Bombyx mori: one gene and its partner. The protein of the gene in region 1 purifies or fractionates together with the protein of each later gene. This does not show direct contact. Links are inferred from orthologs where the notes say so. Each region holds a gene or a part of one and is shown on either strand. Other genes may lie near its edges. The genes, in order: dnaJ homolog subfamily C member 3 and DnaJ-3.

The links.
Region 2: the proteins of dnaJ homolog subfamily C member 3 (region 1) and DnaJ-3 purify together in Homo sapiens (affinity purification with mass spectrometry; 3 studies listed by BioGRID and IntAct, with this or other methods). This does not show direct contact. The link is inferred for Bombyx mori from reciprocal best matches to the Homo sapiens genes DNAJC3 and DNAJB11.

Annotation. Positions count from the first base shown.
Region 1 is NC_085121.1:18,214,078-18,220,371, forward strand, and holds part of dnaJ homolog subfamily C member 3, read left to right. Parts: intron 1-40; coding exon 41-135; intron 136-213; coding exon 214-318; intron 319-2,066; coding exon 2,067-2,267; intron 2,268-2,571; coding exon 2,572-2,697; intron 2,698-2,770; coding exon 2,771-2,995; intron 2,996-4,884; coding exon 4,885-5,002; intron 5,003-5,066; coding exon 5,067-5,199; intron 5,200-5,274; coding exon 5,275-5,404; intron 5,405-6,240; coding exon 6,241-6,294. UniProt on the Homo sapiens protein: Involved in the unfolded protein response (UPR) during endoplasmic reticulum (ER) stress.
Region 2 is NC_085110.1:12,971,201-12,979,273, reverse strand, and holds DnaJ-3 (DnaJ (Hsp40) homolog 3), read left to right. Parts: upstream 1-5,179; 5' UTR 5,180-5,271; coding exon 5,272-5,721; intron 5,722-5,928; coding exon 5,929-6,105; intron 6,106-6,225; coding exon 6,226-6,393; intron 6,394-6,669; coding exon 6,670-6,880; intron 6,881-7,140; coding exon 7,141-7,196; 3' UTR 7,197-7,315; downstream 7,316-8,073. Other genes in the region: proteasome subunit beta 7, read right to left, coding at 116-321, 435-871, 950-1,011. UniProt on the Homo sapiens protein: As a co-chaperone for HSPA5 it is required for proper folding, trafficking or degradation of proteins.

The DNA of each region.
Region 1 (6,294 bases):
TGTTTTTAACATTTACCAAAATATGCTTTTTTTACTGTAGAAGGAGATCCACACAACTATCTTACATACTTCAAGAGAGGTACAGTGTATTATGCCCTCGGAAAAGCAAAATTCGCACTTCAAGACTTTTCAAAGGTATATGACAACCTCACTTGTATATTTTGCAAGTGTTTTTTTGAATTTATGTTATAGCAATAAATGTTTATTTTCTAGGTGCTAGAGCTGAAATCTGACTTCACATCAGCGAGACTACAGCGAGCGAATGTCTACCTCAAATTAGCACAATATACTGATGCCAAAAATGATTATTTAGAAGTCGTAAGTATATTTTATTTCTAATGATGGGTAAAATAAGTTCATGGCCCACTCAACGTGTAAGGACTCAGTAGGGCTGTAAAACATCACTATGTTAATACTAATAGAAACTTTTTCATTTCAATACTGTGAAAATTATGTCTAGATAACAGTATAGGGCAGCCTAAATACTGTAATTCAATCTTCAAACATATAATTTTTGATTTATTAGGCACACAATCCACATTACAAGCTAAAAAAAACACAATAAATAACAACAATAAAAAAATCTGGCTTGTAACATAAGCCATATGCGTGCATTATCATAATAACATTATCAATACATTAATTTAATTGTGTGTGGTGAATAATTATTGGTAAGTCTTATCTGTTCTTTTTGTAAAATGAATATATTAATGTTTTGTTACAACAAAAGACAGGTATTTTAACAATCTATCAGTCTAATACGGCCTTGAGTGCATGCTGAATAAGTAGTCATAGTTATTGTTTTTGATATCAATAAGAACAAAGGAAATGTCTTTGTAAAAACTTACAATGTGAATTGGAAAACTCTTATTAGTATAATTTTATTTTTTAGATAAGAAACATCTACTGTATAGATATTGAATAATATAAAATGTTAAATTGGGCATATTTATAAAAAAGGTACAGATTACAGATGTGTGAAAATATTTAATTAATTGCAATGTCGACCGCTGGACCATACATTAATGTATCACACAGTGTAGAATGTGGGCCACATACATTACAATTTTTATGAATATTTCTTAAATATCAAAAAAAGAGTGAAAAAGTGAGTTTCTAGAAATATTATTTCTATGTTATGCTATCACATATTATGTTGAATTTTTTTGATAAATGTATGATAAGAAGAATCAAGATTATTGAATAATCAATTTCTCTAAAAAAATTACTTTATTACTATCTTTTGAAATATTGTTGTTAACTTTTTTTAATGGCTAAGAAGGCAGGCATACAGACAACCTATACCAACTGCATGGGTTCTATTAAAACTTCATGTAGACATTTTATAGTGCTCAGGAGAGTATGGAGGGGGGATTCTTGTTCTTTTGCTGCACTCTTAGAATAGCAGTCACAGTCATCATGTTCACAATGATGAGTTTTACAACCCGTTTTGCAATACCAAAAACTATCTGGAAATACATGTTAAATGTAGCGGGTAGTAACCATATAATGTAGTAAACATCAATGTAGTGTAGTTGAATGATAAAAAGAGATGACAAGATGAACTTGAAAAACTGCTTAGTACACTCCTAATGAAACATGATACAAAATCACATACAAAATAAAATTTCTTCTGCTGTTTGATGAGAACAGAATAAAAAAAAATTAAATTGGAATATGTAGTTAATTGTTAATTCTACCCTATAATTGAAATCTAAAGCAAATAAAATCAGATCTAACATGTCTAACAAATATACTATGTATATTTATTAACCAGGTATGTTACTGTGGCTCAAAAGTGCTATTAAGACATATTTTCATAAATCTCTTACTAAGTATTAGACTTGTCACTATAATTGACCTGTGCTGCTGGGTATTAAGTTACGTTGTTATTACCCATAAGACATATGACACTTTGTTTTAATTTAATGTAAAATTTTATACGATTTTTAGAGATCCCCAGAATAATGCATCTGAACCCTATATTTGGTACCCTGTACCCTGTTTGTTCCCTACAGGTATAAAGCTTATGTATTCACTATTAAACATATTCAATTAATTTGTAGACATATGCGGATCCGTACAACGAAGAAGCAATCAATCAGTACCACAGGATAGACGAGTACATAGACGATCTGCGGCTGGTGGAGGCGTACTACCGCGGGGGAGACCACCGCGCCGCCGTGGAGCTGGCCACCCGCCTGCTCGACGTGTCCCCCTGGAGCGCACACTTGCGGCAGCTGCGGGCAGAGTCCTACGTGGCTTTGGTAACCAGCTATTTGTCAAATATTTACCCTTCATTTCAAACTGAGGCAGACTGTTGAATATTACAACAACTAATCTCTTTCCTAAATCAAACTTCTGTCCTGAGAGGAAAAGCACCATAGAAATTGCTGTTTGTGGGTAGACCCCCCATCTTTTTATTTAATTTAAAATCATAATAATGAATTGTCACACAAAATATATTATTAAAAGTATCGAAGAAATATAACACTTAAAAATACTTGATGTTACAATATTTCATAAAAATGATATTAAAGATTCATAGTGTTTTTGTAATTTCGTTTTCAGAATGATTTATTTTCGGCCGTGTCAGACATAAGATCAGTAAATAGATTACAGCAAGACTCTACTGATGGATATTACCGGCTCGCTACCTTGTTGTACAAATTGGGACATGTCAGTGACGCGCTCAAAGTGAGTACCTCTCATTAAATCTGTTCAATTTAATTAATTGTAAACAGTCATATTAACTTTTCAACTTCCCCAGGAAATCAGAGAATGTCTAAAATTAGATCCGGAGCACAAGAAATGTTTTCCGTTTTACAAGAAGGTGAAAAAAGTGGACAAACTTCTCCAGGAGTGTGAAGACAAGAGTTCAGCGAGAGATTTTGCAGGATGCATGAAGAGTGCTTCCGCTGTCCTGCTCGTAGAGACAGAAGTCACTCTGGTGATCTTCGAGGCCCGAAGGTGGCTCTGCTCTTGTGCGGTGAAGGTATGAACACACTCGATCTTAGGCTTTGACATAGATTTTCTTTTCTCGTTCTTTTTAAATAAAACTTATGTAGTATGATGACAAATTTGAAGAGCGTTTGAAAAAAAAATAAACTTCATTGTCTCATAAGCTTAATTTCGCTCGCGTGAGCTCACCTCAGTTGCTGCACCTATTTTAATGAGCGACACAAGCTCACACACCACAACTGCAGAGCTGTGCCCCGCCTCACCGACTGTGACTACTTATCATCTGGGGGACCTTTACATACATTCTTTTCTATTCTATTTCTTACTGGTGGTAGGACCTCTTGTGAGTCCACACCACAGATAACCCCCAATAGATTCCGCATACAGGGCCACAAATGTTCACAGCACATTAGTGATTTAGCTAGTATATGAAGTGACGCTAAGAATCACGACATCAGTATTGACCAAGTTTAAGACCCGTAAGCACGCCGAGTTCTTGCCAATATTTAAAGATAGTTTTAAATTCAAATAATATTATAAATGGCTTCCTATGCAATAAAATGGTGTGGCAAGTCATCTAAGACATGTGGTTATCAAAAAGATGGCATAACATTTCATCGGTAACTACTGTTACTTGTCTGTACTTTTATTACATTAACCTAATTCGAATAAACCAGAGTTCAACTTATACTGTTAAGAAATGTGAAAAGTAATAATATCAAAGCACCCCTTGATGTCTTTTTGAAATGTCCCTTTCACTCATCATGTAAATTACAATAGTTGTCTTTGTCTAAATCTGCACGTGTATCGATAGTGTTGTGATTTACAAGTCGACCTTTGTTTGGGCATTATTATTTTTTTTCTATTGTAGCAAAAAAAACCTTATTATTAAACCAGTAATGTTTAATGTTTAAAACATTATCAAGAAAGTCATACGAAGCTCAATAAATACAACCTGAGGTTGTAAAATATTATATAAAGAAAAAACGTTTTGTAACACAAACATTAAGTAGTTTTGTTGGTGAAAGTATTTTTCCTGATATATCACCAATTTGATCACGAAAATTGTAATCACATTATTGATTTAAAACAGTGTCGTGGAAAAATATATAGATATAAGACTTCTTTACTTATCAAGGAAGACAGATCCTAAGAATTCTGTAAGACGAATTTTTACTAAGCTGATTCATTTTAAAAATCAATGAAATATACTTAGATCCTTTTTTATTAATTTTAATAAATATTGGATAATTTAGAATTAATTTATATTTTATTTATAACTAATAATAAAATTAAAATATCAATGATCCAGATCATCCTACAAATTTATCGATCAACAATTTTAAAGCTGTCCCATCACTATGATTTGATGCATTATAAGTTTGTCTTTGAAATATCCAATCACAGCACACTTGACACGTCCCCCGTCACTCATGCTTACCTCAAAATTTGGTGAAGTCGAATTGAAACAAATGTTGAATAATGCGGTATCTATTGGGGGTTATCTGTGGAGGTACCACTACCCCGCCTATTTTTGCCGTGAAGCAGTAATGCGTTTCGGTTTGAAGGGTGGGGCAGCCGTTGTAATTATACTGAGACCTTAGAACTTATATCTCAGGGTGGGTGGCGCATTTACATTGTAGATGTCTATGGGAGCCAGTAACTACTTAACACCAGGTGGGCTGTAAGCTCGTTCACCCATTTAGCAAACAATAAAAAAAACATTCCTTTGAATATCCACGACGCAACCTATCAGTATGACATAGGATAGCAAAACAAACTGGAATCAATTCAGCCAATACATTTTAATTAAAGAACCAAAATATATGCAGAACTATAATCTTATGAGATAAATAAAGAGTAATTTCCGGCATATTTAATAAGTAATAGTATTCACTATTCCAACACGTCCTGACTGTACAGGAGGAGCTGTACTCGGAGGCGCTGGGGCACTGCAGCAGCGCGCTGGAGCTGCGCCGCGACGCGCGACTGCTGTGCGACCGCGCCGACGCGCTGCTCGGACTCGAGATGTACGACGACGGTACGTGCACCCCCGCCGCCCACCGCCCCCCCACACACATCTACAGCGCCGCTCCTGTTCACAGCTATCCGCGCGTACAAGGAGGCTTTGGAGTTAGATGAAGGGTTTCAGCGAGCGAAGGAAGGTCTCAGCCGAGCACAGAAACTGCAGAAACAATCCGAACAAAGAGATTATTACAAAATCCTGGGCGTCAAGAGGTAACGTTCGCTCCACTCGCCGTGCTAGTAGTAGTAGTAGTAATACTGGTAGTGACGCGAGCCTTCGCTCCGCAGGACGGCGACGAAACAAGAGATCATCAAGGCGTACAGGAAGGCGGCGCAGAAGTGGCACCCGGACAGCTACCACGGGGACGAGAAGAAGTTGGCCGAGAAGAAGTTCATCGACATCGCCGCCGCTAAAGAGGTTTGTGTCACACGAGCCGCCATGTCCGCCCGGCACTACACGCGAGCCCCCTCCCAAATACCAGCTTCCATTTAACTCTATCCAGAAGAGGGCCGCTCTGACTGTCGATAATCCCATTCTCACAGATCGTTCGGAACCTCGGGGTCTGCGGAAGGAATTCATTTCTCTCTGTATTTTATACCGTGTGTTCCATGAGGAGTACTCTGAGGAAATGTTTGAGATTATTCATCATCCCATCATCTCATCGTCACCATCACACAAACCACTTTGGCCGTCCGTGACTGTACACAAATTTAATTTGATGCATTGGAATTATACCTGAGAGTGAATAGCACAGAAACATACGTGACGTAGTAGTAGTTGAGAGCGGGCGCTCCCCGTTTATTTATTTAATTTTTTATTACTTAAATGGGTGGATGAGCTCATGGCCTACCTGGTGTTAAGTGGTTACCGGAACCTATAGACATCTACAACGTAAATGCTGCCACCTATTTCGAGACATAAATTGCCCCACCCTTCAAACCGGAACGTATTACAGCTTCACGGCAGAAAAAAGCAGGGTGGTGGTACCCACCCGCGCGGACTCACAAGAGGTCCTACAACCAGTAATTACGCAAATTGTAATTTTGCTGGTTTGATTTTTATTACACGATGTTATTCTTTCACCGTGGAAGTCAATCGTGAACATTTGTTGAGTACGTATTTCATTACAAAAATTGGGGATCCGAACACCGGTGCATCGCTCGATACGAATGCACCGGACGTCTTATCCTTTGACCTTGAAATCCAGTGCGGCGAGGTCTGAGTGTGTATAGTACCGAGGGTTGGTCCCGCAGGTGCTGACGGACCCCGAGAAGCGCGCGCAGTTCGACGGTGGCTCGGACCCGCTG
Region 2 (8,073 bases), on another chromosome or scaffold:
AAGAATAAAACTACACAATATTATATTCTCACATCACTATTTTAGTGTTTCTTAATGAATTGATAAATTTATAGAAAAGTGAGACAAGAAAAACAAAGATATTTCAATTCTTTACCTTCACATTAGCTTCTTCATAAGTTCTTAGATATTGGGCAGGGCCAGTGTTACGAATAACGCACAGGTCAACGTTAGAACCTGAACCCAAGTCATTGAATATACCAGCAGCAATAGCATCTCGGACAAGCTTTTTTCCTTCTTCCTCATTCATATCACGTTTCCAACCTGCTTCAAACACTGCCATAGCCGCAAGAGATCCAGATCCTACAAAGTACCAAAATTTAGTACATAATAATATTATAGATGTAGTGAAGAATATGACCAATGACTATCAATTTAATATAGTACATATTTAGGTACACACTAACAATATTTACCCATGGTTGCATATGGTAATTTATCTACAGATCCATGAGGATAAATGCAGTAAATATGAGGACCGGTTCTGTCAACACCTCCCAAAACCAGAGCAGCCCCTATATGGCCTTGATAGCGAAATAGCATTCGTTTCAGCAGTGTGGCAGCAGTTTCTACAGGTACAGTACGTCCAGTATGTAAGCGCTGCAACTCCAATTGTGAAGCAACAGATTGTGTTGTCATTTCAGTGTCAGCTGCTGTTCCTGCTCCACAACAATACATGTTGGATGCTAAGTAGTGGATTTTTTGGCAGTTTTTGTCCGAGACAACTGTATTTTCAGTGGCTCTTGTGTCAGCTCCTAGAATAACGCCGTCTGCGTATATTATACCAACAATTGTAGTACCGGTCTTGGTGGCTTTGGGTGCAGGAAACCCTTTCTGAGCAAGAAAAGCATTACTGAAACAGAAAAGGAAATATTTTTATCCAAAGTATTGAGGTAGAATGGTATTTGTTGCCCGTACTTAAAGGACTTACCGTTGAAAATTCTCAAACGAGAATCCTGGAACTGGAATTTCGGGCACTAATGCAGATGCCATTTCGTGATTTGACAAATTTTATTGAAATTTTAATTTAAATCGTACGCTTTTAAACGTTATTCCACGCAAACCTAAATATTAAAATAAAACAGTAAATTGACAGAGCGAACATGTACAATGATTTTCAAGTTTGCAATGTTTTTTTCTTGATGACCAACAACTCCGAAACCTTAATGCCAATGCACACAAGAATTTAATTTGACAAAGGTGATTATAACGAAATATTTAAGAAAAAGAATACGAAAATCTAAAAGTTGTTTAAGGTGGTAAGTAGCATAGTATATTTAATTATACACTGTAATACTACCAGTTCATTAAATAGATTTCGATTAGTCCTGTGTCGATCGCGATTGACAGAATCTTTTTGACCCGATCTCGACCCATACGCGTGTGAACGGGTCGTCGGTGCTTGAAAGATTCGTTCTTCCAGAGATTCGATCACCAGGTGACATCACAAACGAAATTGGACTTTATTCGTGAAAAATTACCGTAGCTTGTTGCTTAATTAATCGATTATTTCTTGCATTCAATCACGAAATGACGTAGCTATTAAAATATCTTCTATCTCTTTCGTTTAAGTACATACATACAATCCTGTTCACGCAGTGCACTCTTTCTATCTTGTCGTTTGTTGTGCGTTGCATGATTGTATCCAAAATAAACCGGATTGCGCGGGATCTTTCGGGTCGCACGCGACTTGTCAATCGCGGGAGTGTATTTTAATTTTGAGAATGAATTAATTAATCATTGCATCGGTGACTCTGACTACTGACTTGCGATAGCGTTTCGGTATATTCCCGGTACCTAGTATGTTGTTTGTGTATGTTAGTACTTTTACTAAAATATTTTAAGTGACGATAATAAATCTTAAAAATAATAATCGTATAGTTACTTTTTTATAGCAATACAAATTACGAAAAAAATAAAAACTGTCCTTTTTGGAGTCTTACGCATAGTCCTTATTCTCGTTTTAACGTGAGAACGAGATCGATCGCGCAATCCTTCGGTCATTTTTATATTAAACTAGCTGACCCGGCAAACGTTGTGTTGCCTTAAATAAGATTTCTAGGGAAATTATAGTCTAATATTTAAAATACTCAAAAACCTCATTCAACCACATAATATAGTAAGCGGCACGTAAGTTGGCAAGGTTTTGGTGTAGTGGGGGTAATGTCGCGCATAGTGTACATTGCAACAAAAAAATTGTCGGTTTTATGGCCCGCATATATGTTAATTTTATTTTATTAAATTTTTTATTTGCCATAATTTATTTTTAAGCCTGTGTGTTTAGAAGACAGTTAAAGAAAAGAGAGGAATTCGTGAAGTGTATTAGGTGTTATAAATAAAATACAATTAAAAGTTAAAAAGTTTATTTAACAAAATATACTTAATATTAAAAATTATGTGTCGCCGTCGTCACTATCATTTTCTAATAGTGCTACCCCTTGGATTAAATTTATGGTAGGACCTGAGCTGGTGGAAGGAGTTGGCTCCTCATCGTCGACATAACGAAGAGTCGCTGTCGTCACTGGCGTAAATAATAAAACGCTCAGTGACTGAATCGACTATAATTATGGTCATTGGTATTTGGTCCTGCCATTGCAAACAAATTTAAAACAATAACACTCGTAACAAAAACTAAATTTAAAATAATAATAACAACTCGTAACAAAAACTCAATATAAACAAAGGGTTCCTATAACTTTAGTAGGCACAGGTGTAACCGGGAGCGAACGGAACGTGGACGCGGTGCGGGAGGGGAGAGTCGACTGACTCACCAATCGCGCGCTCGGAACGGTGCTACATCTTTCCCCGCGTCCCGCTTGACAACCAAAGATACCTAAAAAACGACTTCTGCGCATCTAGCGACTCTTGCCAAGTTACGCGCTGGGGACTATACCTCATTATAACCAAAAAAAAAATTATAAAAAAAAAATGTTTGGGGTGAACAACCCTTATCACTTAGGGGTATGAAATATAGATAGTAGCCGATTCTCAGACCTACTGAACATACTATTGATACACAAATAAAACCAAAGAAACATGGCTGAAAAATGTATAGTGAGTAAGACAGGAGACCGGCTTCGTCCTCATCCCTACTACGTGATTTTACTTTGCTGGATGAGTGGTGACACCTGGCAGGGATAACTGATCGATTGATAGTTGATCAGTAGTCGACCGGCGAGGGCAGGAGATCAAATTGAATTAAAAAAAATCATAATTAAAGGAACTTGAAATTATAAACTCTGAATAACAATTTATCATACTACAATTATAATATTTGATTGCCATCTTGCAACCTTATTGCGGATCTGTGCATAGAATAAAAAAAATAAAAATCGGGATGGAAAAATAGGGGTTGATCGTATAAGAGTGAAAATTGAGAGTAATATATTTTTTTTATTTTAAGTCATGACGAAATAAAAAATAAAATCTTGGCAAAAAATTTAAAATTTATAATTAACAAATAAAAAATAGGGGTTGATCGTAGAGGGTGAAAATTTCAGAGTAATATGAAATTTTTTATTCTAAGTCATGACAAAATAAAAACAAAATTCTTGCAAAAAAATTTAGTTTTTAATTAACAAATAAAAAATAAGGGTTGATCGTAGAGGGGTGAAAATTTAGGGTTGTATGTATTTTTGTATGCTGTATCATAAAAAAATAAAAACAAAAAAAATTGTCTAAAAAATAAAAAATAAAATTTAGGGGTGGACTACCCCTAACATTTAGGGGGATGAAAAATAGATGTTAGCCGATTCTCATAGATACCGGATAAGCACAAAAAATTTCATCAAAATCGGTCAAGCCCTTTCGGAGGAGTATGGAAACGAAAACTGTGACACGAGAATTTTATATATTAGATAGATACATACGAACTAGACGAAACTATACGAAATAGATACATACGATGACCGAAATGATTGAAATGATCGAATCTTTATGACCCGATCACTATACGAATGGGTCACGATCGACCCGGGTCATGGAAAACGATTGACCGACCCAGGTCTAATTTCGATATGTCCACTATATATTTTTTTGACTGTTATAGTTCACGCAACTTTATCTGATCATGATCATGTAAATAAATGAAACTTTAATTTCTTTTAAGAGTAATTAAAGTAATTAAATTAAGTGAAAGATTTCCCAAATTATCCGTTTTTATTATTATTTTGTCTCATTGATGTCTTTAATTGATTGAATCAGTCCCCTTCGAATTCAGCGATTACAACGAAGAATTCGAGGAGCAAACCTACCCATAGAAACAGTCCAATTAGTTTCTCGCCGGATTTTTTCAATAAGTCGCCATTTCGCTCCAATGATAAATTCTGCGAAGCATTATTCTTGCTAGGGCTGGTTGGCAAAATTTCTTAGGTTGAACCTAAGGTAAGCTCACCTACCCATCCGTACGAAGCTGGAATAACTCTTCAAGCTAGCTAGCTAGATAGAAAAACACAAAAAGGTGTTTTTCTTTTTGTTTACAGATAGATTTTGTGAATTGTTTAACGTAGTCGAAATGTAGTTACTAGATTTGTGTAAATTATTGTTGGAGTTTGAATATGAACATAACGGCAGGCAGCACTTACACAATATGTAAGGTTACGGATTTCGAATATTGGAATTATTTTAAATGTTTAAAACAAATAATTGTCTTCTCATCAGTGAAGACAATGACTTCTCATCTAGACACGGTCAGACCAACATCTAAGAGTTTTATAAAAATAAAATAATATAATGGTGTAATATTTGTACATGTACAAAGTATTTGCAATATAATTATATTAATCATGAAGAAGAGAGTTTTTTAAATAACCCCTCACCTACAAAACCCAGTCCCTTCAAATTTAACCGTCCAACAATTATACACTTGCTATAAAAACTTCTCAGTATTCCTCTTAAACTGAATCACAAAATATAATTAGAAAATTTTGCGAATTGAAATCGATTTTTTCTAAACTTTTCAAATAATGCCTCCCAGCCTTTAAACTGTTCTTAATTTGATTCATACTAGAACTTATGGGCGTGAAATAAAATTTATAATAGAATTTGCCTTTTAAACTCTTTTTCTCTTGTTGTTAAACTGAGTATTGGCTGACCAATAGGAGGAGGACGAATTGTCTTTCAACTCCGATTTGTCAAAATTTAGTTGGTTCTGTCAGAAAAGACGGAAATGTGTTGAAAACTACTACGTTACTGAAATTTGACTATTCGTATTTTATTGTAGATTTTAAATGTTTTTGTAAGTGTAAAGACAAAATGCTAGTTAACGCAATTAATGTGTGTTTAATTTATTTATTGTCAGCTCTAGTCATCACCCTCGCTGGTCGTGATTTCTACCAGATACTTGGTGTATCTCGGTCCGCGAATACAAATGAAATTAAAAAGGCTTACAGAAAATTAGCAAAAGCATTGCATCCTGATAAAAATCAAGATGATCCCGATGCTGCTCAAAAGTTTCAAGATTTAGGGGCGGCTTATGAGGCATTATCAGACCCCGAAAAACGCGAACTGTACGATCGTTGCGGCGAAGACTGTTTGAAGAAAGATGGAATGATGAACAATAATGACCCTTTTGCAAGCTTCTTTGGTGATTTTGGATTCCATTTTGGTGGTGAACCGCAACATCACGAAACACCACGAGGGGCGGACATTGTTATGGAGCTCACAGTTTCACTTGAAGAACTTTACAATGGAAATTTTATAGAGGTGACTAATATTATACTTTTTTCAATATATAAATCTATGAACGTTATAAGAATTAAAATAGACCATAAAATAATTTTCCAGAGAAGTTATTAACAATTATTACAGTTTAAATGTTATAGTTTACAGATTTTATAGGTTTATTTTTCCAATAAAGCAATAAAGAGAAATCTGATAAAAACTGCATGTCACCCATTTAATTTTTAACAGATAACTAGGAATAAACCCGTAATCAAACCAGCTCCAGGGACCCGCAAGTGTAACTGTAGACAAGAGATGGTAACAAGAAACTTGGGTCCAGGAAGATTCCAGATGATGCAGCAAACAGTGTGTGATGAATGTCCTAATGTAAAATTTGTTAATGAAGAAAGGCTACTAGAAATTGAGGTATGACTTTGAAGATATTGTAAGAAATTGTGAAAGGAAAATGCTACAGAAATGTTAATTACAGTAAAAACTTTCAAATGAACAACATTTTTAAGTGAATTAAAAATATAATATTTACAGGTAGAAGTTGGTGCTCCGGATGGACACAAATCTAGGTTGCGTGGAGAAGGTGAACCCCATGTAGATGGTGAACCAGGTGATCTCATTGTAATACTCAAAACGGAAAGACACCCACAATTTACTCGCAAAGCTGATGACTTATACACCAATGTGACAATTTCACTACAGGTAGACAAATTAATATTTTTGTTTGAATGTAATTAAAATATAAATATGTACATATAAGATAGTTATAACTAGTATAGTAGTAGATATAGTAGATAACTTCAATATTTTAAGCTTTTAGAAATTAATTTGTTTTTTTATTGCTCTTGTAGGCATACGTACCACCTGATGGTGAGAGGTTAGTGTCGCCCATTGATGTCAGTAATGCTAGGGGCAGAACCAAGCCGCTGACTACCAGAAATAATTTGTTAAAAATAATAACCATTTATTTACTTTCAGGATGCTCTGACTGGTTTTACTCTTGAACTTGAACATTTAGATGGTCATAAAGTGTCAGTGTCTAGAGACAAGGTAACATGGGCTGGTGCAAGAGTTCGTAAGAAGGGAGAAGGCATGCCAAATTTTGAAAATAACAACCTCCATGGAAATCTTTATGTAACTTTTGATATAGAATTTCCCAAGCAAGACTTCACAGATGCTGAGAAAGAGGGTTAGTTTGTGTTTTATATTATTTATGTTATAAAGGAGTAACATTAATCCCATTTCTTAGTTATTATTTTATTTATTGAGTGTTATTGGCTTTTGTTAAATTTTATACGTTTCACAATGGCTTTATTCCCAGTACAAATAATCTCCCGAATAGTAAAATAAAAGAAAAATTAACTAATATTGTCTGTTGACCAATTCTCAATAATTATGTATATCTTGTATTTTTAAACTTTTTTTAACTTCTATAACTCTTTATTTCAGCTTTGCGAAAAATACTGAACCAGCCACCAAATAATAAAATATACAATGGACTATAGTGATAGTAAACTAGTAATTATAGCTGGACTGAGTGTGGTTTCATAAGATTTTTGTTACCTGAATGAAGACGTGCATGTGATGGTTTTATAAAAAATAAAAATACCATTTTGATTTGTTATATTTTTTTTTTTTTCAATATTGTTGAAGACGAGTAAATTATATTTTGTTAATGAAGTTCAACTTGAAAAAATGTTTTTAACAACACTACAAAACATTATTTACATCAAAAAAGAAACTTAACATACTAAAAATACATTGGCAACTTAAAAGTATGGTGTCTCGTTGCAGATTCGTTTTAAAAACTTGATGGGTTTAAAACATATTTCTCTAATTACAAATAATTTATTAAATTGATTAATTAGAAGCTGACAAGTCAGTTCCAACAATGTGTCACAATGTGTAAATTGTGTAATCATAATTGTACAATGTAATTCTCAATTTACGTGCAATCACAGTGTAACGTAAAAATGAAAAGGAGAGATAAAATCCAATTTGTAACACACGGCCAGGTCGTGTCCCACGCGAGTTTGTTTATGGACTGCTTGAAATAAGTAAACTTATCAATTATTGTACCTATATATGTCACGTATTCTCCGTTGATAAGTATATTCAGTCATCAGACTTATTTCAAAATATATATGGTATTTGTTGACGCTATGACGAATCGCGCACGATATGAGATGCGTACATAAAGCGATCTTTAATGATTGAAATTTATTAGTTGTCTATTTGGCTAAAAGTAAATATGAAAAAATACAATATTGCAAATACTGGGTTATTTTCTACTCAGTAAAACTATAAAATTGCGGAGCGTTATTATTCATTCCATTTGTAGAGGGTCTCATTTACTATGCACTGTGATACCCCAAAACGAAT